4 linked regions of the Saccharomyces cerevisiae S288C genome follow. Changing the gene in region 1 together with any one later gene gives a genetic interaction. Each region holds a gene or a part of one and is shown in the gene's direction. Other genes may lie near its edges.

Region 1 (6,780 bases):
ATATAGATTTTACTCTGATATAAAAACAAGTTTAAAAAACAATTCTCCCGCTAACACGTTTATACCCTTTCTTTTAGTTGAGTAATTGTGTAGTGTTAAGCTGAGAATATTCATGATTTGATTTCTGATAAATAACTTCTGCTTTATAATAACAAATGTTTAACGTGTTAGCGCCATAATTATATAGAATTGAGGGAAAAAGAAACTGAAAACCAAAAATACCCTGCGTCGCTTGAAATGAGAACAGCACAAATCAATTTTAAAGGAAAAGGTTTCAAAGAAGAATGGCAGCCAACTCTGGTCTCGACTCAAAAGTTGAATATTATCGGCTTCAAGAGAATGAAATTATTAGCGCTGTATCAAGTGAGGATGCAGATCAAAATGATGCGGGCTTTCGATTGAGTACCATCCATTTGCATTTGTTCCATGGATTGAAATTTGCCGCTCTATTGTTCACAGTGGTGCCTGTATTTATAATCCTCGACAGTATGAAGATCATTTTTCAACGCAAACGTAGGTTTTGCCTTGACCATGTCAACAGAAGTTTTTTAAGACAAAGTTCTTGGATCCTCGATGAACGCATCTGTCAATACGTGCTCAATCCTTTATTTGTTTGTTTATATCCTTCTACATTTTCTAGTCCAACATATGTCAAATGCAACATTCCTATAGAAGATCAGAAATCTCCAGAAAACAATATTTTCCAAGACCATCAATTAAACGCACCCAAAATAGTTAGCACAAAGTTTTATCAATATGTTATGCCGGAAGGATTTGACCCCACGACAGATCCAGTTTTAGTATTCTATCATGGGGGTGGTTATGCTCTTAAATTGACGCCTACGTCGTTTTCTTTCTTGAATAATATGCGAAATGCCTTTCCTAAAATGGCCATTCTTGTACCAGATTATACCGTTACAGCTACCGATGACCAGTCGAAAAAGTACCCTCTGCAAATTTTACAAAATGTGGCCATTTTTGATTACGTTGTTAAGACTATGGGGTGCAAAAATGTAGTGATTATGGGGGATTCTGCTGGTGGCAATGCTGTTTTGAACATTGTTTTATATTTAAGAAAGTGTCACAGAGAAATATACCCGAAAAAAGTCATAGCCATAAGTCCCTGGGCCAATGCCACTTTCTTCCACGAGGGAGAAAAGGAATATATGCAAGGAACACAAGAATGGGATGGTCTATGTTTGAAGAGTCATTCGATGTTTGGGCGAATGTTTGTAGGAAACAACCCAAACGTCGATTTTACCAGCGACCCTTTTGTTAATATTGAAAAGAATTTCGAAACTAAAATGTGGCAAGATATTCTGAAAAAGTGCTCTGTGATGATTACTTATGGTAGTGATGAGTTGTTGAGCTTTCAAAACAAGATCTTGGCAAAGAAAATGAGTGACGCTAGCGAGGGATGTAACCACTTTACCGCCAAAAATGTGCTGGTTGAACACCAAGGTTATCATACGGGCCCAATATTAAACTACTCTCGTAATATGGATCGCTGGACCAACATACCATCTATCGCTCGCATTCTTGAGTTTATGCAATCCTGAATTTGTCATAATGACAATTACATAACCCCTTTTATATACATAAATATTTGGGTCAGCACAAATTTATTTTGATTTTCCATTATTTTAGCAGCAACAAGGTTGAAAAAATCGCCGGCGCATCACCAACTTGAAGGACAAAGATAACCTTACTTGAAATCAAATAAGTGATGAATACGACAGCGGAAAAGGTTATACGCTTTGCTCATTATGACGCAAGAATTCATTGATAAAGTATCTTCCTACCTGACTCCTGATGTGGACATTGCACCTATTTCTCAAGGTGCAGAAGCCATTGTTTTCACAACGACTACTCACCCATATCTCCCAAGAGCAAAGGATTCTCATCAAAAGTATATTATCAAATATAGGCCACCAAAGCGTTATAGACATCCACAAATAGACCAGGCACTAACAAAACATCGTACGTTGAATGAGTCGCGTTTATTGGCCAAATTATACTTGATTCCAGGGCTATGTGTCCCTCAACTGATAGCGTGTGATCCATACAATGGATTCATTTGGTTAGAGTTCCTTGGAGAAGATCTTCCCGGAGGGCACGGTTTTAGTAACCTAAAGAACTTCCTTTGGATGCATGACCAAGATCCATATAGTGATCTTGTAGCAACTACACTACGGAAAGTGGGGCGCCAAATTGGGTTGTTGCACTGGAATGACTACTGTCATGGTGATTTGACAAGTTCTAACATTGTTCTCGTGCGAGATGGTGCGAGATGGACGCCTCATTTGATTGATTTCGGTCTGGGCTCAGTTTCAAACCTGGTCGAAGATAAAGGCGTCGATTTATACGTCTTAGAGAGAGCTATTTTAAGTACACATTCGAAGCATGCGGAAAAATACAATGCTTGGATCATGGAGGGGTTCGAAGAGGTCTATCGTGAACAAGGTGCGAAAGGTGCCAAGAAACTGAAAGAAGTTACCAAAAGATTCGAAGAGGTCAGGTTGCGTGGTCGTAAGAGAAGTATGCTAGGATAATATAAATGCTAGCGTACTGCCTGTATATCGCTGCACATAATATGTATCTATAATTTATATTAACGTACATAACTTTTAGGTATGTTACCATCAAAGCGTGTCCGAGTTATTGAGATTTTGACAAATTCAGACAAATCATTTTTGAAGAACCATATATATAAATATATAAAGAAAAGAAAGGTAAACCAAAGACAGCAAACAATCGAAAAGTGGACAACCAGCAATGGTAGATTCAATTCACCGTATTGCATCGGCGTTGGATACGGCCAAAGTAATAACGAGGGAAGCTGCCGCGGTAGCCACCTCTAAGCTGGGTGAATCCTCCTATACTTATTATTCTCAAAACATCAATCCTCAACAGTTAGTCACCTTGTTAAATTCTAGGAACTCTAGAGAAGTTAGAGATGCAATGAAGAGAATAATATCTATAATGGCTTCCGATGATGACTCTATTGACGTTCAATTATACTTTGCTGATGTTGTAAAGAATATCACCACTAATGACACCAAAGTGAAAAGACTTATTCACCTGTATTTACTTAGATTTGCAGAAAATGACCCAAACCTGACCCTGTTATCTATTAATTCTCTTCAAAAATCATTGTCTGATTCGAATTCCGAACTGAGATGCTTTGCTTTGAGTGCCCTTTCTGACATGAAAATGTCATCATTAGCACCTATAATTTTGCATACTGTCAAGAAATTGGTTACAGATCCATCTGCAATGGTTCGTGGTGAAGTCGCCTTGGCCATTATCAAATTATATAGGGCTGGAAAGAATGACTATCATGAAGAATTGTTGGATATTCTGAAAGAATTAATGGCAGATACAGATCCTAAGGTGATATCCTGTGCTGTCCTAGCTTACAAAGAATGTTATGCGGATCACTTGGAGCTATTGCATGGACATTTTCGCAGATATTGTAGAATAATTAAGCAACTAGATTCGTGGTCACAATCATATTTAATTGAGCTGCTAATCAAGTACTGTAAGCAGTATTTACCAAAACCAACTGTGGTCGATAAATCATCAGAAGGTTCCCCAAGGAGTTGTCCTTTACCAGATAAATACAACGAGATTGAATACCCATCTTACGAGGTGGTAAATGACCCTGATTTAGATTTATTTCTACAGAGTTTGAATTGCTTAATTTATAGTTCCAACCCTACAGTGATTTTATCGTGTTGCAATGCGCTATATCAGTTAGCTTCACCATTGCAGATGAAAAATACTAAATTTATTGAAGCATTGGTTAGAACGGTAACCATGACAGAAAACCAAGGTAACAAAGAAATGCTTTTACAAGCAATTCACTTCTTATCGATCTTAGACCAGACACTATTTTTACCCTACACCAAGAAATTTTACGTTTTCCCCAAAGATCCTATTGTGGCATCAATTTGGAAGATCCAAATTTTGTCCACGTTAATAAATGAATCAAACGTTAAAGAAATATTCAAAGAATTGAAATATTATGTTGCCAGTGCTCATTTCCCAGAAAATGTTGTTATTATGGCGGTTAAGTCATTATCTCGATGTGGCCAATTGTCAACGAGTTGGGAATCACATGTAATGAAGTGGTTAATTGATCATATGGAATCCCACAACCTCTCTGCTTCTGTCCTAGATGCATACGTGAATGTTATCAGGATGCTGGTGCAAAAAAATCCTACAAAACATCTTCGCATAATCTTCAAGCTTGCAGATTTATTAACAGTTCAAACGAGTTTGGCTGATAATGCTCGTGCAGGTATTGTTTGGTTATTTGGTGAAATTGCCTCGATTGAATTTAAGATATGTCCGGACGTTTTGAGGAGGCTAATCCAGAATTTTTCAAATGAGGGTCCTGAGACAAGATGTCAGATCTTAGTGTTATCAGCAAAACTGTTGTCATATGACATTGATAATTTTAAGCAAGCGCAAGTTACTGGAAGCGAAGAAAATAACCAAAATCCCCCATACTATGATTTTAGTGGTTCAAGAATCTCTCAAATGTACAATGCGGTCCTTTACTTGGCAAAATATGATGACGAATTTGATATTAGGGATAGAGCCAGGATGATTTCATCCTTGTTTGATTCAGGGAAATATGAAATTGTGTCACTACTATTACAAGCACCTAAACCTACGGCAAGAAGTGACGATTTTATCGTTTCTGCAAGATTGGAAACACATACCCCAGAAATAAAAGAATTTTTTAGAATGCTTCCTTGGAATACTGAAATTACTGAGGTTGGCGAGACAGGTAACGATATTAGAGAAGGCGCAGAATTGAAAGACTATAACAAATACAAAAAAAGTTTTTCATCGCAGTCTTTTATTACCAACAACTCAGCAAGATCTTTCACATCTAGCTCCAACGCAAAATTGACTGGGATCAATGACGGCGATAGCAATAGCATCTCAGGTAAAGGTAACGTAAACACCTTCACATCTCAAAACGGGAAGAAATATCGTTTGCAAAGCCTGGACGAGTTTTTTTCCGACATTCCAGAAAGGAAGAGTAAACCAAGGAAAATTATAAAGGTGGTGGAAGAAAGCAGTGACGAGGATGAAGACGAATCGGAAGAGAGCAGTGACGATGATGAGTATAGTGACTCTTCTTTGGGAACGTCTTCTTCGGGAACGTCTTCTTCGCATCTGGAGCTTTAGAACTCGGAGATAATACTATATAAATATGTATATTTATAGATATAGATATAGGCATGTATATCTTCCCAGTAATATACGTGTTTGGGACGAAAACAAAAGAGAAGTTGGTAAACAAAGTTTCATGTGAATTTGCTTAGTACAAAAATACATACAAATATAAAAGAAAAGTTACAAATTGCAAACACACTCATAACGAGGGGCAAAAAAAGTGGAGGGTGAAGAAAGTCAAGCCTAATACATGTACTTAAACTCAGGGTTTTTGTCGCTTAACCTTTCGTCGTATGGAATAGGCTCTCCCAATTCATTACAGCGATCTATTATTGCTTTCTTTTTATCGTTTTCCCTCTTGTATAGGAAAATTTGCACAACCGTCATAAATATGGAGAAGACTTGAAAGGCCAGACTAATCGACAGCCCTTTGATATATCTTGGCTTGTCTTTGGCAACAAAAATTTGACCAGAGACCAACCCTGAACCAGACCCGAAAAATAGATTAATTCCTAAAGCGGTGGCTCTCTTGAAGTAATTACCAGTGTTACCACTTAACCATAAACAGTTACAGGCAGCATTAACGTAAATACCCATACAAAGAATGTAAACGCCAAAATATCTCACACCATGAACTTGAGAACCAAGGACGATAGCTATGCCTATCGAAGTCGTCAGACAAGCACCCAGGATGAATGGAGATCTCAACTTTATACGATCAGACCAAACGGCACAAATGAAGAACACAATTGCTGTAAGGAAATAGATGGGCACGGTCATTAATTGAGCTCTGACATTAGTGAACCCCATACTGGTAATGATGATCGGCAAGAAGACTGTTAGACCAAAAGTAGTCAAATCGATACCGAATAATGCCACAGCACTAGCCCAAGTCTTGACATCCTTAACTGCTTGCCACACTTGGAACCATTCAAATTTTTCGTCCGGGTCAAAAGTGTTCATAGTCTTGTATCTTTCGGAAATGTACTCTTTTTCCTCCTTATTGAAAAACCACGAATCCTCCAAATTTTTGCTCAACCCGAAGGCATAGAATGGTACGAACCCCAAAGAGATACAACCTTCGACAATGTAAATGTATTGCCAGTCCTTTAGAGAACCGCTGATTTTGGAACAACCATAAGCAATCAGCCCACCAAAAGATGAAGACAAACAGGCTGCACTGAAGACAAAAGCGAACCTCAGAGCATATTGTTCTCTTCTATAGCAGACTGAAAGGTACATGTTAATAGCGGGATAAATCATACCTTCAAAGGCACCCAGTAGTAGTCTGACAACGATCAATTGAGCATAATTCTTAACCCAAGCAGTTCCGAGCGAAATAGCACCGAAACAGGTCAAACAGATACTCATCATTAATGGCGGACCCATAATTTTCAGAAGGTTAGTACCTATGGGGTCGAAAAGAACATACGTCGCGAAAAAAACTGTGACACATGTGTTATATTGCGTTCCTACAAGGTGGATATCCTTGGATAGACCTGCAACTTCTGCGTTACCAATATTCGATTTATCCAGGTTAGAAAGGAAATATAGCATCCCCATAAGAGGAATCAAGTATATATCCAT
Region 2 (10,550 bases), on another chromosome or scaffold:
TAATTGCATTATAAGCTCTTTTGACGAATGGTGGGATAGATGGGTGGCTTATGATCCCGTCCATTCTAACTCTCCATTGAGCAAAGGCGGCTTTCATGTACTTGGAGTTTTCGTATCTTAACTTAATAAAGATGGCGTACACAACAAGTATGATCCAAGACCTTTGGAAGCACAGAATGGCTCTGAAAAGGACCAAAATGAAAATAAGCAGCTCAGCAGTACCGACCCAGTGCATGCACAAGTCATTGTACTGAACAACAAACTTGTCGATGAAGCTGAGGATCTTACTTGAATCTTTACTGGAAAGGTGGAAGACTTTTGGTAAGAGAACTTTTTCAACGTAGATTAAAACATGGAATACAGCAAACGCGAAAAATGGGATTAAGCTGAATGAAAATCTTGGAGTGAACAACCAGAAGTTGGCCAAAACCAAATAAAGCACGTCTTCACTCTTTAGGAGTCCAGCAACGCGTGATTTTATGGAAGCCTTAGTGGCAGCGGCATCTTGAGTCTGCAATGGTTCATTGCGGGTGAAAAATTGCTGGTAAATGATGATACCGAAAGATTCGATGACACCGAGATATGCCGATCTGTAATAAAATTCTGACATCTTGAGCAGGTAAAGAATGGAGCTGATCAATACGACGGAATGACCGGTAAACCATGCAAACTGCAAGCTCTTGGCTACTGCCATGAACCTTTGCACGAGCGACTTATCTCTGGCAGGGAGGTTTGGGGGGCCTTGGTTATTAGCGGGTCTTGATGACATTATACTGACTATTCTTGGCTAGTGTTTCTTGCTCCTTATGAATAGAGAAAAATGACTTTTTTTAGATGTAGTAAGTATGTCATTTCAGGGATGGTCTGCTTGCTCTTTAAATATTTTTTCACCCTTTTAAAATGGGGCCCTTTCGCCGTACCAAAGAAGGAGAAATATACATTACGTATGTAGGTTGCTACATTTTACACAAAACTATCAATGCCTTCTAGGCTTCTTCTTGACCAGTTGAGAGAGATCATTGAAGTCACCAAGGGGCTTTTCGAGGGCGGGGAAGCCGATGGAGGTCGTGGGCTGCGAAAGAGGCCTCTTGGAGCCGTGCTGCTGATTTTCTTGCACCTCATCAATATCGTCTTGAATCTGTGCGAGCCTTGCCTGCTGTAACTCGCTGTCCTTGGGTCTTGTAGTCATGTGTTTTTCAAGCAGAGCCTTGGCATGCTTGAATCTTTTTAGTTTGTCCTTAGCCGGCACCTGATCAACCCACCTTAAAGCATCACACACCAAAAATTCTGCTTGTATCACCTTCTCAGTTACTTGTTCTGCGGGTTTCAAGGTCTTGTAATAGCCAAGCGCCTTCAAGTAATGATGAATGGCTCTACTGAACATCTCCGCCTCCCTTTCGATGTCACCCATCAGGATATACACATCACCGATGCGCAATCTGCTGTTCTCGGTTAGAGATTGGCCATCTGCTGTAGGGCGGCCCAACAGCATCAAGGCCTGCGCCAGTAGGTCCAAAGCATTCTCATACAGATCATTTTCAAAGTAAATGTGGAAACCAGACTTGCGAAGTTGCGATACGTCTTCAATTTCATCGTCATGTTCATTCGCTGGACTGAAGTTAGCCAATTCGTGCAAAGCTAAGCGTTCTTCCTCTTTCTCCACGTTTTCTTCCTCTTCTTCGCTACCTTCGCCACTGTCCTCACTATCACCACTGTCGACATCACCAGTCAAGTCTTCCTCTTCTTGGTCGAATTGGAACATCCTAGAATTAGGAATTTCTGTTTGACCGTTCTCGTTCCCCTCTTCTCCATTGCTCACATCAGACTCAGGCTCAGACTCAGACTCAGACCCAGATCCATCGTCACCTGCCAGAAGAGCGTCCCCAAACAGATTACCAGAATTCTGTACTTCCATGTTGTATACAGCTTGTGCGAATATAGTAAACAGTTCAGGATCAGGCAACAAACCATCTTTTGGGAGAGAGTCCAAAGTTTGTTGGCAGCGTTTAGCAGCTTCTAAGAACTTTTTCTGTGCGAGTAAATCTTTTGCAATTTGAACCTGTCTTTCCATATCAATTTGAACTTTATGTCTGCTAGTTCCGTTTGCCAACACGTCTTCTGCCCTTAGTTTCATATTCTGTTACTTCTAGAAGGAGACCTCATCGCCGATGTTACCTCAAAATTGAGTAGAATGAAATAATACAAAATTGGAAAAAACGCGAAACTTCAGTGCAGTAACATATCGTTCCGACATTCTCTGAGAAGTGGTAAGATTCCACTGCCGGGGAGCTACGAGTGCTCTTGCAAGTTTTTAGACACTGCTATATCCTTCGACTACGTAACCCCATTTTTTTATTTTTCTATATAAAAACATGCACTGTATACATATAATCACGTAAGTTCAAGTCGTGCTTAAAACGGGCACAGAAAACTAACTATGAGTTGCCGTACCATACATAAACTAGGAGAAGGTAGCGCAGTTCTTTTTTTTTACCAAAGGTTTGCACAAAAAAGATGGTCTAACGTAAGTAAGTTATCAATAAAACTGTTAAAAGTAGTATAAGAATCTTGAGATAGGCTTATTATTATGACTTTTTATGGCGGAAAAGGAAGAAGAAATACTGCGCCGGGTGATGCGTGACGCGTTTTTGGAAACGATGAGAATAAACTTTGAAGTATTTTGAGAATAATATTCTATTATCGAGTTCTTTCAGCAGAAAGCAACACATAGCTACGTATAGTTCGGTAAGATAAATTTGGTCAGAAGCGTGTGAAAGACGCTGAGAAACCACGTGAGACGAAGATTCAAATCAAGGCGTGAGGAATAACGCAATACGAGCCACCGAAACAGAATAAACAAAAGAAAAGAAAGAGTAAACATGGGTACGTCAAGCGAGGTTTCTCTCGCACATCATAGAGATATCTTCCATTACTACGTCTCACTGAAGACTTTTTTCGAGGTGACTGGCGAAAATCGTGACAGGTCAAATTCGACACGAGCTCAAAAGGCCAGAGCCAAGCTGTTGAAGCTATCTTCTTCGCAATTTTACGAGCTGAGTACAGACGTGTCCGATGAGCTGCAGAGGAGAATCGGTGAAGATGCTAACCAACCAGATTACCTTTTGCCGAAGGCAAATTTCCACATGAAAAGGAACCAGGCTAGACAGAAACTGGCCAATCTATCACAAACTCGATTTAATGATTTGTTGGACGATATCCTTTTTGAGATCAAGAGAAGAGGGTTCGACAAGGATTTGGATGCTCCACGGCCCCCATTACCGCAGCCGATGAAACAAGAGGTCAGCAAAGACAGCGATGATACTGCAAGAACATCCACAAATTCTTCCTCTGTGACTCAAGTAGCTCCAAACGTCTCCGTACAACCTTCTTTGGTCATTCCTAAGATGGCATCTATCGATTGGTCTTCTGAGGAAGAAGAAGAGGAGCAAGTAAAGGAGAAGCCAAATGAACCGGAGGGAAAACAAACAAGCATGGATGAAAAGAAAGAGGCTAAACCTGCTCTAAACCCCATAGTTACAGATTCTGATCTGCCTGACTCCCAAGTGCTCGCTCGTGATATCACATCAATGGCAAGGACTCCAACAACGACGCATAAAAATTACTGGGACGTTAATGATTCTCCAATTATCAAGGTAGATAAAGATATCGATAACGAAAAGGGTCCCGAACAGTTGAAGAGCCCTGAAGTACAACGGGCTGAGAACAATAACCCTAACTCAGAGATGGAAGACAAGGTTAAAGAACTGACTGATTTAAACAGCGACTTACATTTGCAAATTGAAGATTTGAATGCTAAGTTAGCATCTTTAACCAGCGAGAAGGAAAAGGAGAAGAAGGAAGAGAAGGAGGAAAAAGAAAAGGAAAAGAACTTAAAGATTAACTACACCATTGATGAAAGTTTTCAGAAAGAATTGCTGTCATTAAACTCTCAAATCGGTGAATTATCAATTGAGAATGAAAATTTGAAGCAGAAAATTTCAGAATTCGAACTGCATCAAAAAAAGAATGACAACCATAATGATTTGAAAATCACTGACGGTTTTATTAGCAAGTACTCTTCTGCCGATGGGCTCATTCCAGCTCAATACATCTTAAACGCTAACAACTTGATAATTCAATTTACTACTAGGCTTTCCGCAGTACCCATAGGCGACTCCACGGCAATTTCCCATCAAATTGGCGAAGAGTTATTTCAAATATTATCCCAGTTATCGAACCTAATCTCCCAGCTATTACTATCGGCCGACCTATTACAGTACAAAGATCAGGTCATTTTACTGAAGGCATCATTATCGCATGCGATCACATCGATAAGATATTTCTCTGTTTACGGTCCCGTATTAATTCCGAAAATAACTGTGCAAGCTGCTGTTTCAGAGGTTTGTTTTGCCATGTGTAATCTAATTGATTCAGCGAAAATAAAATCCGATTCAAATGGTGAGAGCACCACCTCTAATGAAGGTAACCGACAGGTATTAGAATATTCTTCACCAACTGCTACCACCCCAATGACGCCAACTTTCCCCTCGACTTCTGGAATAAATATGAAGAAGGGGTTTATAAACCCAAGAAAACCAGCATCTTTCTTGAATGATGTGGAGGAAGAAGAATCTCCAGTCAAGCCATTGAAAATTACACAAAAGGCAATTAACAGTCCGATCATAAGACCGTCATCGTCTAATGGAGTTCCAACAACCTCAAGAAAACCTTCAGGAACGGGGCTATTTAGTTTAATGATTGATTCATCAATTGCTAAGAATAGCTCCCATAAAGAGGATAATGATAAATATGTCTCGCCCATAAAGGCAGTAACATCGGCCTCCAATTCTGCAAGTAGCAATATTTCCGAAATTCCTAAACTAACACTACCTCCACAAGCCAAAATCGGTACTGTTATTCCACCGTCAGAGAATCAAGTTCCCAATATTAAAATCGAGAATACAGAAGAGGATAATAAAAGGAGTGACATAACAAATGAAATCTCTGTTAAACCAACTTCTAGCATTGCTGATAAACTGAAACAATTTGAGCAAAGTTCCGAAAAGAAATCATCACCAAAGGAAAATCCTATAGCAAAAGAAGAAATGGATTCAAAACCAAAACTATCCAATAAATTTATCACTTCAATGAATGATGTGTCCACAGATGATTCAAGCTCTGATGGTAACGAAAATGACGATGCAGACGATGATGATGATTTTACCTATATGGCATTGAAACAAACAATGAAGAGAGAAGGTTCAAAAATTGAAAAAAATAATGACAGCAAACTACCTGCAAATATAGTGGAACTTGATTTACATGAGTCACCGGAGTCCGTGAAGATTGAATCTCCTGAATCGATAAAGGAAATCACGTCATCTGAAATGTCTTCAGAAATGCCAAGTAGTTCGCTGCCTAAGAGATTAGTAGAGGATGTTGAGCCTTCAGAAATGCCAGAGAAGGGCGCATCTGTAGAATCAGTCAGGAAGAAAAATTTTCAAGAACCACTTGGTAATGTCGAATCTCCGGATATGACGCAGAAGGTCAAGTCTTTGGGTATGACAGGAAAGGCTGTAGGCCCAGAATCAGATAGTAGGGTCGAATCTCCGGGCATGACAGGACAGATTAAATCTTTGAATATGGCAGGAAAAGTTGTAGGCCCAGAAGCAGATAGTAGGGTCGAATCTCCGGGCATGAAAGAGCAGATTAAGTCTTTGGGTATGACAGGAAAAATTACAGCTCAAGAATCAATCAAGTCCCCGGAAGCGGCTAGGAAGTTGGCGTCATCAGGAGAAGTTGACAAAATTGAATCTCCAAGAATGGTAAGGGAAAGCGAGTCCTTGGAGGCAGTAGGCAATACTATCCCCTCAAACATGACAGTGAAAATGGAATCCCCAAATTTAAAGGGAAATACTGTGTCTGAACCTCAAGAAATAAGGAGAGACATTGCCTCCTCAGAGCCGATAGAGAATGTTGACCCCCCAAAAGTACTAAAAAAGATTGTCTTTCCAAAGGCTGTTAATAGAACTGGATCACCAAAATCAGTCGAAAAGACTCCATCTTCAGCTACACTGAAAAAGAGCGGGCTCCCAGAACCGAATAGCCAAATTGTTTCTCCTGAATTGGCAAAAAATTCACCTCTAGCACCGATAAAGAAAAATGTCGAGTTACGAGAAACTAATAAACCACATACTGAGACTATCACTTCTGTGGAACCAACAAACAAGGATGCCAATACTTCTTGGAGAGACGCCGACTTAAACCGTACGATCAAACGAGAGGAGGAGGACGAAGATTTTGATAGAGTGAACCACAATATCCAGATCACTGGTGCATATACGAAAACTGGAAAAATTGATTATCATAAAATACCTGTTGATCGTAAAGCAAAAAGCGAAGCAGAAGTGCATACTTCCGAGGAAGATATTGATGAATCAAATAATGTTAATGGAAAAAGAGCTGATGCCCAAATACACATCACTGAAAGAAAGCATGCTTTCGTAAATCCAACTGAAAATTCACAGGTAAAAAAGACGAGCCACTCACCATTTTTAAACAGTAAACCGGTTCAATACGAGAACTCAGAGTCGAACGGCGGCATTAACAACCACATAAAGATAAAAAATACTGGAGAAACTACGGCACATGACGAGAAACATTATAGTGATGATGATGATTCTAGCTATCAATTTGTTCCCATGAAACATGAAGAACAAGAACAAGAACAAAACAGAAGTGAGGAAGAGGAAAGTGAAGATGACGATGAAGAGGAAGAAGACAGTGATTTTGATGTGGATACATTTGACATTGAAAATCCGGATAATACACTATCAGAGTTACTATTGTATTTAGAACATCAAACAATGGACGTCATATCCACGATTCAATCGCTTTTGACATCGATCAAGAAACCACAGGTGACGAAGGGTAATTTGAGGGGAGAATCGAATGCAATCAACCAAGTCATAGGTCAAATGGTGGACGCTACTAGCATATCAATGGAGCAAAGCAGAAATGCCAATTTGAAGAAACACGGTGATTGGGTGGTGCAAAGTCTAAGAGACTGTTCGCGTAGAATGACAATTTTGTGCCAATTAACTGGCGATGGAATACTAGCGAAGGAAAAGAGCGATCAAGATTATGCTGACAAAAACTTCAAACAGCGGTTGGCAGGGATTGCGTTTGATGTTGCCAAATGTACAAAGGAGCTGGTAAAAACTGTAGAAGAGGCAAGTTTGAAGGACGAAATAAATTATTTGAATTCGAAGTTGAAGTAAAGTTAGTAGTATCTAGAGGAGAAAGAAAAGGAAGACAAAGACAATCAATAGAATGTATTATGTATGACATATAATAATAATAATTATAATAATAATAATAATAGTAGTAGCAGTAATAATAATATTATTATAGTATATTAAAACAACAAAAAATTAGTAAAAATACTATAAATGTTTGAATATGAAGATATATATGTAGGAAGAATTTTTATTGAATATAGAAATTTAAAGAAATATTATTAAAAACCGGAAAATGAAAAAGAAGAGTTAAAAAAAAAAAAAACGGAACTAGTAAAAGATGTGAAAAAAAGAAGAGAAAAGTAGAACGAGAACACCCACTATCCTTGGGTATTATTATAAGTTGCAATACCATCATCCAGTATGCCCAGATTAAACCATTCATGGTCCAGAGCGTCCTTTGCGGTAATCCTTTTTGTTGGGTCGAACTCAAACATTTTCCTGAGTAGATCGATGAACCAGTACCAAAACAAGAAAGTTTCCTTATCGAGTTCATCAGTAGTTGAGGAAGAAGAGGAATGTGTTTGTCTTTTCCATGCCAATTTCGAATTTATCAAAGACCAGTTTTTCTCCGGCGGTAGATTCCAATTGATGCTTAAGCTATCGCCGTAATCCTGTTTCAAGACCTTTGAGATGTAAATATCTAAGCGATCACATGACTGCAAGACCCTTTTCATTGACTTTTCGGTGGTTATGGTATCTCCGCGTTTATTTTTTTCAGGCCATTGTAAGCTTAAAGTTTTTCTGTCGAAATGCTTTATCACCGTTGAATTTAGGTCTGATGGAGAGTTGCCCAATTTATGTTTAGATTTGTAAAACATCTTATCAATAATGTCTGTGGGGAAAGGGGTTCCATTGATTCGTTGCATCATAGCCATATGTTCTAGATTTTCATGAATGGGGTAAAGAGATTCGCCAATAACCAGTTCTACTAGGACACACGCGATGGACCAAATGTCGCAGGGGAACGACCAGCCCAAGCCAAGGACAATTTCCGGGGCTCTATAGTGACGAGTGGATATTACAGGAGGATGATATTCGTAATGGAAAATTGCGCTACCGAAATCAATGATTTTGATTTCTGGATTTTTCAAGATTTTGCGCTTCCCCTTACTGGCTTCACGGCGTCTCTTGCTTAGCGACTGTACGGTTTTCAAAGGCAATTTTTGAGCAATATGGGTTTCGTCACAAATCAGGATATTTTCTGGTTTCAAATCCGTGTGTATTATGCCCAAATCGTGCAAGAAGCAGACAGATCTGATTAGCTGTCTGGCAATGGCCTGAATATGAGAGCCGGGGAACCTGGCAATGCCGTTGGAGCACATAAAATCGTAAATGGACCTGCCGTATAGATCTGTCACCAAACAAATGTGATTTTTGTAATCGAAGCACTCCCTTAGCAAGAGGCACTGGAACTGACCTTGAGGGTCATTATTCAGGATAGTCTGTAGAATTCTTAGTTCTGTTTTGGCGGCTTCTCTATATCTATCTACAGCCCTTATCACTTTTACAGCCACGTAATTAGGTTCATACTTGTTATCGATGCATTTAAGTACTTTACCAAACGTGCCTTGGCCCAATAGGTCCTTCACAACAAAGCGGCCGCCACTGCCAAATATGTCGTTTTCCTGGTAAACGTAGTGACCGTCTTTGTCCGTTTTGAAATTTGATTTATTGGATGATGCGCTTTCTGAAGAGCCGTTTGATGTAAATTTCCGTAGTGAAGAACCAATTTGTTTCTTGAGGTTGGATTGAGGCAGGGAAGCTATTTGTGCTGGTGGGTTGGAAAAGGGAGAAGTGCTGTGAGCAATCGTGAGATTCACTGCCTTGTTGCCCTCCAGAGTCTTTGCACACGACCCCGTTAGATGCAACAGCTCATTTTCAGTTTGCGTTACTCTTGGCACGATAGCGTTGGTTTGATCAGGAACATTAAAATAGTTCGATTGGTAGCTCAGCTTCGATAGAGGCAACTGAGGCAGTGAGATGGTTCTTTGCTTCTTGAATTTCTTTGGTGTCGTGATATACGTACTATTGCTTGTAGCTGCGGTACCGCACCCTGGATTATTTGAAGTAACAATATTATTGTTGTTATTGATACTGCTGCTACTAGGCAGAATCAAAGGTGACGAAAACTGAATTGGCTGCTCTTTGATAAAAATGATGTCATCGTCAGCATCCTCGTCCACTCGACTACTGTTATGATTATTACTGTTATTGATTGTGGTGTTAATGATACGCGGCTCCTCGTCTAGTTCTATGGCATTTTCATTGTCCAAGAACAACTGGTGTTGGTGTTGCCGAGGACGGAGCGGATTGTCTGCTTGATTCAGGTCTAGACTGTTCCTCAGATTGTCTGTTAGAAAAGAATTTTGCCGAGCAAACATCTCGTCCAGCAGCTTGTTTGTGCGCGTTTCTTCGAAATTATCCAAAAAGGTCTTGTTAGAGCTTGTATTGTTAGCAGGGCCCGTAGTAGTGGAATTATTCATATTTGCTCTTGAACGTTTTCTAGTGCCAATTTGAATATTCTGTGACATAACTAAGGTACGCGGAAGATAAAGCAATAATGAAGAAGAGCAGTATGCGTGTAGATTAGTCTTTGTTGTGCTAAATCTTCGACTTGGTAAATACTATGTTTCTTTCACTCTTTTTCTGTCTCCCACTTTGTTTCCTTTTTCTTTTTCTTTTTTTTTTTTGGGTTTGCTTGCTATCTGGCGCAGTATTTCGTGAATATAATATCTATTTAGTTAGCGTAAGCACGAGGAGTTACTGCACTGTTTCCTTTCACTTGGTGGTGAGGTAACAATACTTTGTAAATCCGGTAGATCTGGGAAGTAAATACTAAACTTTATTCTAATATAGGAACTTCATAATATAAAATCCAACGCACGATGCTAGAGATAAAAAAAGAGGGTGGGAGATGTGGAGCCAGGATTCAAATCGAAAATCGTAATCGGAAACTAAACCAGCATTGCAACCGGGCCATAAGCCATATCGTTAAGCACGCCAAAGCTTTTTCCCTTCGCTGTGTGTTTCCTCGCAACTTTAACTCCGGCCACTCACTAAGCCAAGGCGTGAGGAGAGAGACTAAAGCTTTGTGGAAAACCGCCCAATCACGCTGACCCCTTTGGCCCGTTTGCCGCCCCCTAGAAAAAAAAGAAACGGACGGGCCTGGGCCCGCACAGCCTCGAGCAGGGTCACTTCGCGCCATATCGGCGGCTATTTCAAAAAAAGAAGTTCTTTACCAGTTGTTGT
Region 3 (7,801 bases), on another chromosome or scaffold:
CGGGAATAACGAAGTTTTTGCTCAATCTTTAGAGTTACCAATGCCTGAGGCCTTGTCGCGCTATAGGAATGAATCGGCTAACTCTAAGCAGTGGCTTGAGGATATACTAGAGCCTACAAGAAAAGTGGTATTTTTAAATTACGATAACTGCCCGGATATTATCGAACAAAGCGAAAAGGATAACATTACGAATCACGGGGAGGCAGAATTGACTCTACAATGTGTGGAAGGAATGTTATTGAGCGGCGTACCATGCGAAGATATTGGTGTAATGACGTTATACAGAGCACAGTTAAGATTACTGAAGAAGATATTCAACAAAAATGTGTATGACGGGCTAGAGATCTTGACTGCTGATCAGTTTCAAGGTCGTGACAAAAAGTGCATTATTATTTCCATGGTTAGAAGAAATTCTCAATTAAATGGAGGAGCGCTGCTGAAAGAGCTAAGAAGAGTCAATGTTGCCATGACAAGGGCCAAATCCAAGCTGATCATTATAGGTTCAAAAAGTACAATCGGCTCTGTTCCTGAAATAAAATCGTTCGTGAACCTGTTAGAAGAGCGTAATTGGGTCTATACAATGTGCAAGGATGCACTCTACAAATACAAATTTCCCGACAGATCAAACGCTATTGATGAGGCACGCAAAGGTTGTGGAAAAAGAACAGGTGCCAAACCCATCACATCAAAGTCTAAATTCGTAAGCGATAAACCTATCATAAAGGAAATTCTACAAGAGTATGAAAGTTGACAGGGGGAATAAGAAGAGCTTCTCCATAACAGGAAAGCTATCACAGCATAAAATATCTATGTCATTTTATAAAGTTTGGTATATATAACACGTAATATTAGCATCTGAGGTTCGAAAGCTCGCATGTGTGTCTTTTCTAAAAAGTTTTCGTTTGAACTTTTCCAAAAGCTTCCTCATTAACGAACCAGGATGTTTTTTCACCAAATAATTTGTTAACCAATGCGGTTGGCAATTGATCGTTTTTCAAGTCAAAGATCTCATGCATTATATTTTGTTTGGAACTGCCCTCAGCCACAAAACACAGGGCTTTGGCGTCTTTCAACACAGGCAGAGTGAAGGTGATTCTGTCACTTGGAGGCTTGGGAGAATCGTGGCACCAAGCAACTCTTTTGGTTGTTTCGTTCAGCAAGTACCTATGTGTTTCTCCAGGGAATAAGGAACAAGTGTGTCCATCAGGACCACAGCCCAACAGTACCAAATCAAGCACTTGAGGTACGATACGCTCGTACTCTGCAGCAATTTTGTTGTTAGATTCAGCATCGCTGCCAATCAAGGACTCGTCCATGGGATAAACGTTTGGCTGACTAGTCGAGGGTAATTTATCTAGAACAGCTCTCTTGAAGGCACCATAATTGCTGTCAGCGTCCGTCAGTGGCACAATTCTTTCATCAGAGAAGTAGATTTGCCATTTAGACCATTGCACTCGAGAAGATAGTGATTCGTCCGCTACTAAACTTTCATACAGAGCATCGATCAAAGAGCCACCGCTAACGGAAACTTTAAAGTCTGACTTCTTTTGCAGCGCCTCATCTTGTTTCTTGACGATGAATTCCCCCAATTGATGGGTCAAACTAGCCCTCTCAGAAAACACACCGACTGTCACCATTTGGTCGCGGACCAGGGGTAAAGCAATTGATGGTGCATTGCCTTCTATTATCCTCGAGGCCTTTCCTCTTTATATAATATACCACTATTACCATTGTCGGGGATAAAAAGGTAAGAAAAAAACGGAAAAATGCAAAAGAGCAAATTATAACACCGCGCAAAGAAAATATACTTTACTATTTTATGAATATTATACAATCCGGATATATATGCTTACGTACATATCTTTGACAAAGCAAAGTTTCGAGTTGTAAATTCGGCGTTTATCTGCCCGTAGTAATTTCCTTTTTGCTTTCGTCGGCGCCGCTGAGAATATAGCTACACAATTGCGATATAGAGTCGCCATTCCGTATCCTGTAGTTGGCAATTCTACCCAATTGATAGCCAGCGGTCAGACAAAGAAACGAGTTGACAGAAGCCAACAAGATGTTTCTTGGCTTGATGACAAAGGACCAACGAGTCCAAATCAGCGCAGTAGATAGCAGCGACAAATTTTGAGCACCAGAAATTTTTTCCACCGGTCTCTTCATATCGCTGAATCCAGCGAAAACCAGACCCCATTTCAAAGTAGGAGCCCAGAAATGCACCGTCTTGGGGCCTGTCTCACTTTGCCAGAACCGCCTAAATGCAAAACGTACGGATGATGTAGACATTTTTCTTTTCTTTAATCTTTTTCTGTATAACTTCGTTTATATAATTCGTGTGTCAATTTTCTGATATAGTGAGTGATAATTCTCGACAATACGTTCTTTCGAATGAACTAATGGTTTGCCGTCTATTTCAGTTTCCTATTGCAGTCAGCGATGTCAACGATGTGCGTATCAAACTTTACTGTTTTCCTCGAGGAAAAACCTTTGTGCTTCTTTTCTCTCGGACTTTTTCTTCTTTCTTATTATATACTCAACGCTTTTCTTTTTCTTCTTTTTTTTTCCATCCTAGTCATGCGCGCAATAGGAAAGCGCACGAAACAAATGAGTAATTCGTAGGAAACAATGCAGCCCCCAGGGTCAGCAACTGACGTGACTCAGCCTGGCTTTTGTAGAAAAAGATGACGCCCTGGCAGAGAGGTGGGGGAATTGAGGGGTCCTCGCTACCCACCTTAAGTATGGAAGAATATGATGAAGAATATGATGATAACTCTTGGAAGCGAGCGGCGGGTTCCATCACTTTTTACGGATTGGTAACACAGGGGCCTCAGTTCGATACTTGGTATTCAGGCTTCCAGCGTTGGTGAGTTTAGTTAGCGGTATGGTATGCACATGGTGTTGATGCTTGGTGGTAATCATTCGTTAGGTGAATTGAGCAGTAGCGATATTAGATATATTTAGTATTTTATAGCGTCTTTTTGGTGGGGGAGGAAGGACAAAACCTGTCTCGTAAATATAAAGGGACTGTTCGATATCGCAGATACTAGAGTATAAATTTCGATTGAGGCGAGATGACAACATATTTCAAGTTGGTAAAAGGTGCTACCAAGATCAAGTCAGCCCCGCCCAAACAGAAGTATCTGGATCCGATACTGTTGGGGACCAGCAATGAAGAGGATTTCTATGAGATCGTGAAGGGTTTGGATTCCCGAATTAATGACACGGCGTGGACTATTGTGTATAAATCGCTGTTGGTGGTTCATTTGATGATAAGGGAGGGTTCCAAAGATGTTGCATTGCGGTACTACTCTAGGAACCTGGAGTTTTTTGACATTGAAAACATACGTGGCTCCAATGGCAGTGCGTCTGGAGACATGAGGGCACTTGATAGATACGATAATTATCTGAAGGTGAGATGCAGGGAGTTTGGTAAAATCAAAAAGGACTATGTGAGAGACGGCTATCGAACACTGAAGCTGAACAGTGGCAATTACGGAAGCTCCAGAAACAAGCAACACTCTATCAATATAGCACTAGATCATGTGGAGTCCCTAGAGGTACAAATACAAGCCCTGATTAAAAACAAGTATACACAATATGATTTGAGTAACGAATTGATCATATTTGGTTTCAAGCTGCTTATTCAAGACCTGCTAGCGCTATATAATGCTCTCAACGAAGGTATCATAACTCTGCTGGAGTCTTTTTTCGAACTATCTCATCATAATGCAGAGAGAACTCTAGACCTGTACAAGACGTTTGTTGATTTGACCGAGCACGTTGTCAGGTACTTGAAGAGCGGGAAGACTGCGGGCTTGAAAATACCCGTCATCAAGCATATCACTACCAAACTGGTCAGATCGCTAGAAGAACATCTGATAGAGGATGATAAGACGCACAACACTTTTGTGCCCGTTGACAGTTCTCAAGGAAGTGCTGGGGCCGTAGTAGCCAAATCTACTGCACAGGAAAGGTTGGAGCAAATCCGGGAACAAAAAAGGATACTAGAGGCACAATTGAAAAACGAACAAGTAGCGATTTCCCCTGCTCTAACTACTGTCACGGCGGCTCAATCTTACAACCCGTTTGGAACAGACTCTTCTATGCATACTAACATTCCAATGGCTGTGGCTAATCAAACGCAACAGATCGCAAATAACCCATTTGTATCTCAAACTCAGCCACAGGTGATGAATACACCAACCGCTCATACAGAGCCCGCAAATTTAAACGTTCCTGAATATGCAGCGGTCCAACACACAGTGAACTTCAACCCTGTACAAGATGCTGGCGTAAGTGCCCAACAAACGGGGTACTATTCGATTAACAACCATTTAACACCCACATTTACAGGTGCAGGGTTTGGAGGATACTCCGTTTCACAGGATACAACTGCCGCTTCTAATCAACAAGTCTCTCATTCACAAACTGGTTCTAACAACCCGTTCGCATTGCACAACGCCGCGACGATCGCAACAGGGAATCCTGCACACGAAAATGTCTTAAATAACCCATTTTCACGACCAAACTTTGATGAACAAAATACCAATATGCCGCTACAACAACAGATAATAAGTAACCCTTTTCAAAACCAAACGTACAATCAACAACAATTTCAACAACAAAAAATGCCTTTGAGCTCGATCAATAGCGTTATGACAACCCCTACTAGCATGCAGGGATCGATGAATATTCCTCAGCGTTTTGATAAAATGGAATTTCAGGCTCACTACACTCAGAATCATCTCCAACAACAGCAACAACAGCAACAGCAACAACAGCAACAGCAACAACAGCAACCACAACAGGGTTATTATGTGCCTGCAACTGCAGGAGCCAACCCTGTTACAAATATAACTGGGACAGTTCAACCTCAAAATTTCCCTTTCTATCCACAACAGCAACCACAACCGGAACAGTCTCAAACACAGCAACCAGTTTTAGGAAACCAATATGCTAACAACCTCAATTTAATTGATATGTAATATCTAGTATAATCAGGTATGTAAGGGAGTACTCAAGTGCATCTTTGGATAGCTATATATAGTTGTAAGGAAGAGCTATGTAATTTTTGCCATTTTGTACATATTTTGCATTTGTCCTATAGTATGTAATACTTACATCTTACTGTCTTCAATTCCTCCCGCCAACAAAAGATTTCGATAGCGCCGCACCATGGAGTTTATATTGTTATTTCCGAGACGACCTATATAAGGGAAAAGACGAAAACTGGGTATTTGATACTTGTCTAAACTTCAATGGACAAATGATATAAAATACAAACAATGAATAGTAACCGATGCCAAACGAATGAGGTGAATAAATTTATTAGTAGTACAGAAAAGGGGCCTTTTACGGGCAGGGACAATACGCTCTCTTTTAACAAAATCGGGAGCAGACTGAATTCACCACCGATTCTGAAGGATAAAATTGAGCTGAAATTTCTACAACACTCAGAAGATTTGAATCAATCACGGTCCTACGTAAATATTCGTCCTAGAACCTTAGAGGATCAAAGTTACAAATTTGAAGCGCCAAATCTAAATGACAATGAAACTTCTTGGGCCAAGGATTTTAGATATAACTTCCCTAAGAATGTTGAACCGCCCATCGAAAATCAAATCGCGAATCTTAATATAAACAACGGGCTACGGACATCTCAGACAGATTTTCCCTTAGGCTTTTATTCACAGAAAAACTTTAACATTGCTTCCTTCCCTGTGGTTGACCATCAGATATTCAAGACAACAGGTTTAGAACATCCTATCAACAGCCACATTGATTCTTTAATTAATGCTGAATTTTCGGAACTGGAAGCCAGTAGTTTGGAAGAAGATGTCCATACAGAAGAGGAAAATTCAGGTACGAGTCTGGAAGATGAAGAAACTGCCATGAAAGGTTTGGCTTCCGATATAATTGAGTTTTGCGATAATAATAGTGCCAATAAAGATGTAAAAGAAAGACTAAACAGTTCAAAGTTTATGGGGCTGATGGGCAGCATTAGTGATGGTTCTATAGTTTTAAAGAAGGATAACGGTACAGAAAGAAACCTTCAAAAACACGTAGGTTTTTGTTTTCAGAATTCAGGAAACTGGGCTGGTCTTGAGTTCCATGATGTTGAAGACAGAATTGCTTAACGGGCCTTGAAATTTCTTTAATTTAAACCATGAATTTCAGATATATAACACTTTTTAACCACTTTCAAGAGAAAACAGTATTAAATTACATACTGCGTTCACAGCTATACGTAAAAAGAGTGACAAGTGAAGAATAAACGTCATTTTGAAAAAGGAATTAGAAGTCTGTCATTTCAACTGAGTTTTTGACGGAGGAATTATCATTATCGGGTTCTCCAATAAAACTTAGCTTGTTACTACTTCTTTTACTTTTTTTTTCTCGTGTTCGATGTCCACTTTCATCTGTGAGACTATTATTCCCAGCATTGTCTTTCTGGAACTTAGTTGTCGTTTTAAATTTCCTCATGTTTAAACTAGAATCGTCGCCACTATCTTCTGCTTGCCCCCGGTTCGTAATTTTATGTGTACTTTTTTTCTGTTCATGCTGTCTATCGCTTTTATATACAGGATCACATCTGTTATCAGTAATAACATCATTATCGTTTTCTTCTTCTATACCGAGTAATCCGGCCTTGACATCGCTAACAAAGCTCCAAAGCGACCTGGAGACTGATCCTTGCGAAGGAGATTTTTGGCGAGCTCCAGGTGCTTCATTATCGTACTGTTGCGCGGACGACTCGCTATTACTAGTCGGTGTCCCTTCCTGTACCTCAGGCGTACCTGAAAGAGAGTCATCCCAATTCAGAGTTCTTTCAATTTCATGCTGAATGATTTTATCAAACTGATTAAACAGAGCTAATGGTTTGCTCCAAAGTGACTGTTTGGATGAATCTGACGAGTCGTCCCTTTGGCGCCTTTCTTGAATATCTTGCGGAGACACAGATCTTGACTGATTAGTACTTTGATGACCCATGTTCTTTGGTTTACTGACAGAACTAGGAAGGCTGCTGTTACCAGCATTTTCAGTTCGTGATTCCAAAGGTATATTCTGGTAAACCGGTGAAAAAGCCCGGTTTTTAACAGGTGTATTTAGAGAGGGATCCAAATGTTTACTCACTTGCTCCTTGAGTTCATGCAGTTCACGTGCCCGACGAGTATAGTTTTGCTCTTCATGCTGGGTTTGCTTTTTCAAATCTTCAATCTTTTGTTTGCATTCCAGAAGTTCTAACTCTTTTGTAGCGAGAGATTGTAGAAGCGCACTTACATCGACCCCATTTGTTGGTATGGTGGTCGCTATCATACTATTAACCGACTGCGAACTCCCATTTCTAGACCGTCGAAGTCCGCTGGCCATCGCTTGCTCACTAGAAAGTACAGTGGTTGACTCTAATGGGATTCCATAGGATCCCTCAGAATGACTTACTGAAGGTAAGTTGTTTTGAGATTCTGGTGTAGTGGGAACAACCATGGGTTGAATAAGTGATCTTCTCTTGCTCATTGCATTTGGAACTGAGACAGAAGAATGACGAGTTACCACCCTCCTAGCATCTGGCTTGGCTTGTAAGGGATGGTCCTGGTCATTTAATCTGGTAGGCGTCATTAGTCTTTGCGAATGCATGCTTCCCGCACTGGACGTACGATGGTGTTCTAGCCTATATCCATTGGAACTAGCAGAACGAATCTTTCGTCCAGTTTTCCTCACAGGTGACATCGAAATTATACTATTTCGGGTACTGGTGTCCACATCCAAATCCTTCTCATTAGACTCTATAAACTCGTCA
Region 4 (7,424 bases), on another chromosome or scaffold:
AATAATAATCCACACGTACCCACAGCGAAGTGCATTAGGCCAATATCAGATGATTCTATAGGTACATCGAGCACAGAGATATTTTCTTCATCGCACTCAAATACGACATCTGATTCTTTATGTACATCAGATATAAGCTCAGAAGAGGGTGAAATAGCAAACAGTAAGATGGAGGATAACTGCTTCTTCAAAAGTATGAGAGAAGCTGACCATAGAAGCAATATTACGCCCTTAAAGAAAAGCCGACCGGGATCAATACTACAGAAAACACGTACAGCAAGTAGCGCTGATAAAACAATCTGCTCAATGAGTACCATAACTACATGCATTCCATCTCGTCAAAATTCGGTGTCAACTCCTAAACTCTCCAGGACAGTAGGGCTGCCTGGATCGAGCAATACAACCAACAGTATAGCCGCATCACAAACTTCATTCATAAGCGAGAATGACTCTCCTCTTAAACATCATTGCATGAGTACCGCAACTATCCAAGAACCAAAACTCATGCCGATCACAAAAACGCCGTATGTGCATTCCAATAGTACTTCTGTAATATTACCATATAAAACAACCCAACTTACTCCTTCTCAACGTTACCGTTTAAGGAAAGAGCAAAATGACCAATCTTTGCGTAAAGCCATAAAAATGAAAGAAAAATTTTATGAAGATCAAGACGTTAACTTGGAACTTCAAGAGGGCGATGTCGACGGCTCGTTAATTTGGAACATTCCAATGGCATCTTTATCGACCAGTTCTTTTTTAACATTATCTAAGTTTAATAGAAAAGAAATGAGTTTAGATTCAGCGCGGGGGGATGAAGAGATATTAATACAGGAGAACAATTGCGAAGGCAAACAACACTCATCTTCGGCTCTCTGTGTGGACAAAACTTTCCATCAGGTTCATAGTACTAGAAAACATACATCAAATTCAAGTAACACTTTAAAAGAATCATGTCTGGACTATAAGGAGCTTCCGCCAACATGCATTCCTGGTATATCTCCTGTGTCTGATTCACAGTACATCCAGGATACAATGAAAAATCTCTCCCAAATATACCTGCATAGTTCCGAAAAAATCTCCAAAAGTATTCTTTCTGGTCGTTCAAGATCTGTACAGAGTTTACCACTGGAATTTAAAGAAGCCAGTAGTCAGGGAATGGAAGACCTAATGCTAGTTTCAGAGGACAAACTAAAGGCCGTAAGTCATTTCCGTCCGAGTTGGCTCCCGCCCAAGGATTTCAAAGAGAGGAAATTGCAAGATAAACAAATCTACAAAAATATCGACTTAGCATCAATGGAAGAGTTGCAAAAAAATAAAGAACGTGACGAAAAAGCCAAAAAGAATGAGCAGAATAAGGTCAAATTCCAGCATTTACTGGACCGAGGCATTACTCGTAACTCGTCATTAAGTGAATTAAAGAAAATTATTTGGGAAACACCTTTGATATCTAAAGTACGGCTTCAAATATATAGTCAACTTCTACAAAGTGACAATTGCTTGATAACAAAATGTTTTATTGAATCATTTGAGGAAGTAATGCAGCTACTCAACAAAATGGATTTTCCCAAAGATAAAGAATTTGAAATAAGACAGCTTATTGAACACGATGTACAGGAAAAGGTTTTTTATAAAAATGGAACAGATAAGCAAGTGGTTTCTGACTTGATGCTATTACTGCAACTGAAATCTATATCTCAACAAGGTTTGGTTACTGGTGATGAGATGCTATTCTACCATTTTTTAACTGATCAATCTTTTGGGACTTTGAAGGAAACATGGGAAATGGTCAACTTGATACAGATGACGTGCTTCAGTGAAATTTGCAAGGAAAAATACGATTCAAGAATATTAAATCCCAGAGGAATTGTTGCCCATCTTTTACGAAAAGATGAGTTCAAAAATGAATTCAATGGCGGATGTTTGAATAGCAATACATGGTGGAACATATTGCAAAGAATGGACCATAAACTTTTTATGTGGGTAATGGATGTAATTATCGTTCATAATGGCCAAAACTTTGCAAACTACCCCGTAAAAATGGAAATATTCAAAGACAAAGTATGGGAATACTATAGATCTAAGAAGGTTATTGTAAATTATAAGATTTTGGTTTCACTAACAGTTAACGTATTGTTAAACTACCACTTCGGATATGATAATCTGAAACATTTATCAGATTTGGATGATAAGCATTTTTGTATTCCACTGTATACGGAGGATAGTATCGAAGAGGAAAACCTCAATAATATTTTCACAAAGTGGTGGTTGCACTACTACCGAAAATTACGTTAGCGTGTATGTGGCACGTACTAAAAGTTTGGTGACCAGACTATCTCTTCTTAAGTTCATTTTCACTCTGAAACTTATAAATGCATACATACAGAAATTACTTTCGATTAATATAATAATATATTTTTAATAAACAATGAACTAATGCCCTTATTGTGTTTTGTTATTAACCTTTTCATCACCATTTTTTTTTGCTAGCTTCTACGGCATTCACTTACGTGCTGCAAAATTTCGCAGCATGGAAGAAATTGTTCGCGAAGAAAAAAGATTTCGCTCAGTGATTTGTAGTGACAATAGGTACCAGTGTTATCACTAAGTATATCTTTTAGTATATCTCTTCGCTTGAGGAGGGATCAAAAAAAAACAAACGTAAACGTGCACATAAACGTCAAGTACTTTTTGCAGGCATTAATATTCGTCTCCAACAAAGACAAATAAAGAAGCAATCTTTTCATTACCTTAAGCCAGTATCTATTGATATCAATCGATAAGGTTCGTTGTTATCGGTGCTAAAAATTATAAAGTGAAAATAAGAATCTTTTCATGTCGTGCTCAAACGGCATCTGGCCTACTGTATCTAATTTGTGCGGATCATTATCCTTCTTCACCTCTGTTATTTCATTGTTTCCACAAATAATTGAGACTTATCGAGATAAATCTGTCGATGGGCTATCGCCATATTTTTTGCTGGCTTGGTTATGTGGGGATATTACCTCGCTGATAGGGGCAAAGCTAACAGGGCAATTGTTATTTCAGATACTTTTAGCAATTTATTTTCTATTGAATGATTCTTTTGTATGTGGTCAATATTATTACTATGGCGTGCTGCATGAAAATAAATTGGCGACTGTCGGCCATGAGCCTAAACCTCTTCTTCCCGAACTGGTTGAAAATGGTGAGCTTTTGAGGGAGGAAGAGGACATGATACAAGGTGGTAGCAGTGCAGAAAGCCCTAGAAGCAGTAGAAGAAGGTCTGCCATTACAGCAGCCTTGGCTATAGCTCATACTATAAGTACAGCTAGCGCATATCCGCTAAATGTAGGCTCCACCCAATCACAAGTGGGGCCTCCCGGAGATGGTAAAAACAGCCAGCTGGGTACAATTTTATCTTGGATTGGCGCTTCCTTCTACGTAGGCGCACGTATCCCACAACTAATCAAGAATTACAATAGAAAGTCTACAGACGGCTTATCTCCCTTCCTATTTGCTACTACACTACTCTGCAATATCACGTATAATTTGAGCATCTTCACAAGCTGTAGATTTTTAGATAATCAGAACAAGAGGGAATTCATCGTGAATGAGTTGCCCTTTATATTTGGAAGTGCTGGAACAATTGCGTTTGATTTGATATACTTCTACCAATACTATATCCTTTATGCAACTGATATGCAACTACGTGAACTGGAAAGAGAACTATACAGTCCTGAAGAAGACAGTGCAGCGCAACTAGTGACAGAACGTACATCACTGTTGTCTGGTGAAACGCAAACATAGTTTTCCCTACGGAGTACTACCATTTATATTTAAACAATGCACTCTGCTCTTGGGATAGTCCTTGCGAGACCCTTTTTTCCCAATAGGAATACTACGTTCGTACTCTGTGTAAAAGTACCCAACTATAGTTAGCGCCAGTTTTACGTAAAACCGTCTATGTCTTGTTTGCATTCGCAACAGCTACAAACACATATAGTTTGTCACACTAATATTAATAATGAAAGTTATTATGTATTCACTGTGAACGCTTCAGTATACAGTACGGCAGTAAGTGTTTCATTCTGTTCTGGATTAATAATCTTTCACTTTGCCTAGCCATTTGGGGGCGGGTTTTGGCTGGGTTAGCTTCTCCTTAGTCATGGAGAAAAAAAATCGCCCGCAAGTATCTCGAAAAAGGAAAAAATGCCCACGCGTATAAGAGTGGACCCAACTGCTCGAGGTTTCAAGAGCTTGTAGATTAATTTCTGTAGTTCAGTTATACTTGCCTACAAGTGCTATACAGCAAATAGCGAACAGTACGAAAGTAAACATCATATTATCAATAATGGTTCACAACAAAGTTACTATCATTGGTTCAGGTCCAGCTGCACACACCGCCGCCATCTATTTGGCCAGGGCAGAAATCAAGCCAATCCTATATGAAGGTATGATGGCGAACGGTATTGCTGCCGGTGGCCAGCTAACCACCACTACAGAAATCGAAAACTTCCCAGGTTTCCCAGATGGTCTAACAGGTAGCGAACTGATGGACAGAATGAGAGAACAATCCACGAAGTTTGGCACTGAAATTATCACGGAAACAGTTTCCAAAGTTGATCTGTCTTCCAAACCATTCAAGCTATGGACCGAATTTAACGAAGACGCAGAACCTGTGACGACTGACGCTATAATCTTGGCCACAGGCGCTTCTGCTAAGAGAATGCATTTGCCGGGCGAGGAAACCTACTGGCAAAAAGGTATTTCTGCCTGTGCCGTGTGTGATGGTGCCGTCCCCATTTTCAGAAACAAGCCATTGGCCGTCATTGGTGGTGGTGACTCTGCATGTGAAGAAGCTCAGTTCTTGACCAAGTACGGCTCAAAAGTGTTTATGCTTGTCAGAAAAGACCATTTGCGTGCTTCTACCATTATGCAAAAGCGTGCTGAGAAGAACGAAAAAATTGAAATCCTTTACAACACTGTTGCGCTAGAAGCTAAGGGGGATGGTAAATTATTGAATGCCTTGAGGATTAAGAACACTAAAAAGAATGAAGAAACCGATTTGCCAGTCAGCGGTTTATTTTATGCAATTGGCCACACTCCAGCAACAAAGATTGTCGCTGGCCAAGTCGACACTGATGAAGCGGGCTACATTAAAACTGTCCCAGGCAGCTCATTAACCTCCGTTCCAGGATTTTTCGCTGCTGGTGATGTTCAGGATTCTAAATACAGACAAGCTATTACTTCTGCTGGCTCTGGTTGTATGGCCGCTTTGGATGCTGAGAAATACTTAACTTCCCTAGAATAGATGAATTTTCCATTATAAAATAGATACACTCAAATTTTTGTATACTTATCCAACAAATCGTTACTTTCTCCTTTTCTTTAATAAAAAGCAAACCATGAATTTTATTTCTTTTCCCCATTATTAGAGAAAGCCAATACATAATCTACATATATTGCGTGTCTGAATTAAACTTTTTAGACACATGACATAGGCCATCGGCTTACTTTGTAACGCGTGGTTGCCTATACACCGACTATTAAGTTATGACTAATATTATTGCTGCGCTTCCCCACCTGCATTTTTCTTGTCGTCTTTGCCAAAAGGAAAAAAAAACCTACGCAGATTGACTCTCTAAAAAATGATTCATGACCAGACAATTCAGTAAACATAAACTCTGTTGCATTCATTCTTCTGGAAAACTTTATAATAAAGCATCTGATATTACAGCTACTGACAACTAAGTGAATTTAAACTGCAATAATCACAAGAAAACTTAGTATTCCCTTATCATGTCCGAGGCGACTTTGCTATCTTACACCAAGAAATTATTGGCTTCTCCGCCGCAATTGAGTAGCACAGACCTACACGATGCGTTGCTGGTTATATTAAGTCTTTTGCAAAAATGTGATACAAATAGCGATGAGAGTCTTTCCATCTATACCAAAGTTTCGAGTTTTCTCACGGCCTTGAGAGTTACTAAACTTGATCACAAGGCTGAATACATTGCGGAAGCTGCAAAGGCTGTGCTCAGACATTCCGACCTTGTTGATCTACCTTTACCCAAGAAGGACGAATTACACCCGGAAGATGGACCAGTAATCTTAGATATTGTAGGTACTGGTGGTGACGGACAGAATACTTTTAATGTTTCCACGTCTGCTGCTATCGTTGCCTCCGGAATTCAGGGCCTAAAAATTTGTAAGCACGGTGGTAAAGCTTCTACATCCAATAGTGGAGCTGGTGACCTAATTGGAACTTTAGGCTGTGACATGTTCAAGGTTAATTCATCGACAGTGCCCAAACTTTGGCCTGATAATACGTTCATGTTTCTACTTGCTCCTTTTTTTCATCATGGAATGGGCCACGTTTCTAAGATACGCAAATTTCTTGGAATTCCGACTGTTTTCAACGTACTGGGACCACTTCTACATCCAGTTAGCCACGTAAACAAGAGAATATTGGGCGTTTACTCAAAGGAACTTGCGCCTGAATATGCCAAGGCAGCCGCTTTGGTATATCCAGGAAGCGAAACTTTTATAGTTTGGGGACATGTTGGGTTAGACGAAGTATCACCTATAGGCAAAACTACTGTCTGGCATATTGATCCGACATCGTCCGAACTTAAATTGAAGACCTTCCAATTAGAACCTTCTATGTTTGGTTTAGAAGAACACGAGTTGTCGAAGTGTGCTTCATACGGCCCTAAAGAGAATGCGAGAATTCTAAAAGAAGAAGTCTTGTCCGGCAAGTACCACCTTGGCGACAATAATCCTATTTATGACTACATCTTGATGAACACCGCCGTGTTATATTGTTTAAGCCAAGGTCACCAGAACTGGAAGGAAGGGATCATTAAGGCAGAAGAAAGCATACATTCTGGTAATGCATTACGTTCTTTAGAACACTTTATAGATAGTGTGAGCTCCTTGTAGACATTATTTCATATGTTATACTTAAACTAGATAGAGACGTTTTATTTGTACTAAGCTGAACATTACCCTAATTACGCGTTATAAGTTTTAATCCTTCATTTTGAAGGAAAACAAATAAACAAAAAGTTGATGTGGAACAAATACAATGTGCGCGGATATCTTAAGCAACTTCGTTAGTTACAGTCCACACAAAGCGAAAAAGGGCTGATAAACACTCATGGACGAAGCGTCACATCTCCCAAATGGGAGCTTGAAGAACATGGAATTTACGCCTGTAGGATTTATCAAATCCAAGCGAAACACCACGCAAACACAAGTTGTATCGCCTACTAAGGTTCCAAATGCCAATAATGGTGATGAGAACGAAGGCCCTGTTAAGAAAAGGCAGAGAAGAAGCATTGATGATACAATTGACTCCACAAGGCTATTTAGTGAAGCTTCACAATTCGATGACAGCTTTCCAGAAATTAAGGCTAACATTCCGCCTAGTCCAAGGTCAG

What was found.
Region 2: mutations in BUD32 (region 1) and SPA2 together harm fitness more than expected from each alone (negative genetic interaction), as found in Saccharomyces cerevisiae (3 studies listed by BioGRID).
Region 3: mutations in BUD32 (region 1) and YAP1801 together harm fitness more than expected from each alone (negative genetic interaction), as found in Saccharomyces cerevisiae (3 studies listed by BioGRID).
Region 4: mutations in BUD32 (region 1) and TRP4 together harm fitness more than expected from each alone (negative genetic interaction), as found in Saccharomyces cerevisiae (3 studies listed by BioGRID).

What each region holds. Positions count from the first base shown.
Region 1 is NC_001139.9:1,012,746-1,019,525, reverse strand, and holds BUD32 (serine/threonine protein kinase BUD32), read left to right. Parts: upstream 1-1,766; coding exon 1,767-2,552; downstream 2,553-6,780. Other genes in the region: SAY1 (steryl deacetylase), read left to right, coding at 285-1,559; APL6 (AP-3 complex subunit beta), read left to right, coding at 2,776-5,205; TNA1 (Tna1p), read right to left, coding at 5,437-6,780. UniProt on the Saccharomyces cerevisiae protein: Component of the EKC/KEOPS complex that is required for the formation of a threonylcarbamoyl group on adenosine at position 37 (t(6)A37) in tRNAs that read codons beginning with adenine.
Region 2 is NC_001144.5:98,068-108,617, forward strand, and holds SPA2 (Spa2p), read left to right. Parts: upstream 1-2,879; coding exon 2,880-7,280; downstream 7,281-10,550. Other genes in the region: nucleoporin POM33, read right to left, coding at 1-769; HIF1 (Hif1p), read right to left, coding at 977-2,134; serine/threonine protein kinase KNS1, read right to left, coding at 7,619-9,832. UniProt on the Saccharomyces cerevisiae protein: Involved in pheromone-induced morphogenesis and efficient mating, perhaps as a cytoskeletal protein.
Region 3 is NC_001140.6:417,560-425,360, reverse strand, and holds YAP1801 (Yap1801p), read left to right. Parts: upstream 1-3,074; coding exon 3,075-4,988; downstream 4,989-7,801. Other genes in the region: bifunctional ATP-dependent DNA helicase/ssDNA endodeoxyribonuclease DNA2, read left to right, coding at 1-751; 6-phosphogluconolactonase SOL3, read right to left, coding at 888-1,637; MPC2 (mitochondrial pyruvate carrier), read right to left, coding at 1,900-2,289; PEX18 (Pex18p), read left to right, coding at 5,289-6,140; TDA11 (Tda11p), read right to left, coding at 6,298-7,801. UniProt on the Saccharomyces cerevisiae protein: Involved in endocytosis and clathrin cage assembly.
Region 4 is NC_001136.10:1,178,966-1,186,389, forward strand, and holds TRP4 (anthranilate phosphoribosyltransferase), read left to right. Parts: upstream 1-5,781; coding exon 5,782-6,924; downstream 6,925-7,424. Other genes in the region: SBE2 (Sbe2p), read left to right, coding at 1-2,295; YPQ2 (Ypq2p), read left to right, coding at 2,836-3,789; thioredoxin-disulfide reductase TRR1, read left to right, coding at 4,334-5,293; SPC110 (Spc110p), read left to right, coding at 7,142-7,424. UniProt on the Saccharomyces cerevisiae protein: Catalyzes the transfer of the phosphoribosyl group of 5-phosphorylribose-1-pyrophosphate (PRPP) to anthranilate to yield N-(5'-phosphoribosyl)-anthranilate (PRA), the second step in tryptophan biosynthesis.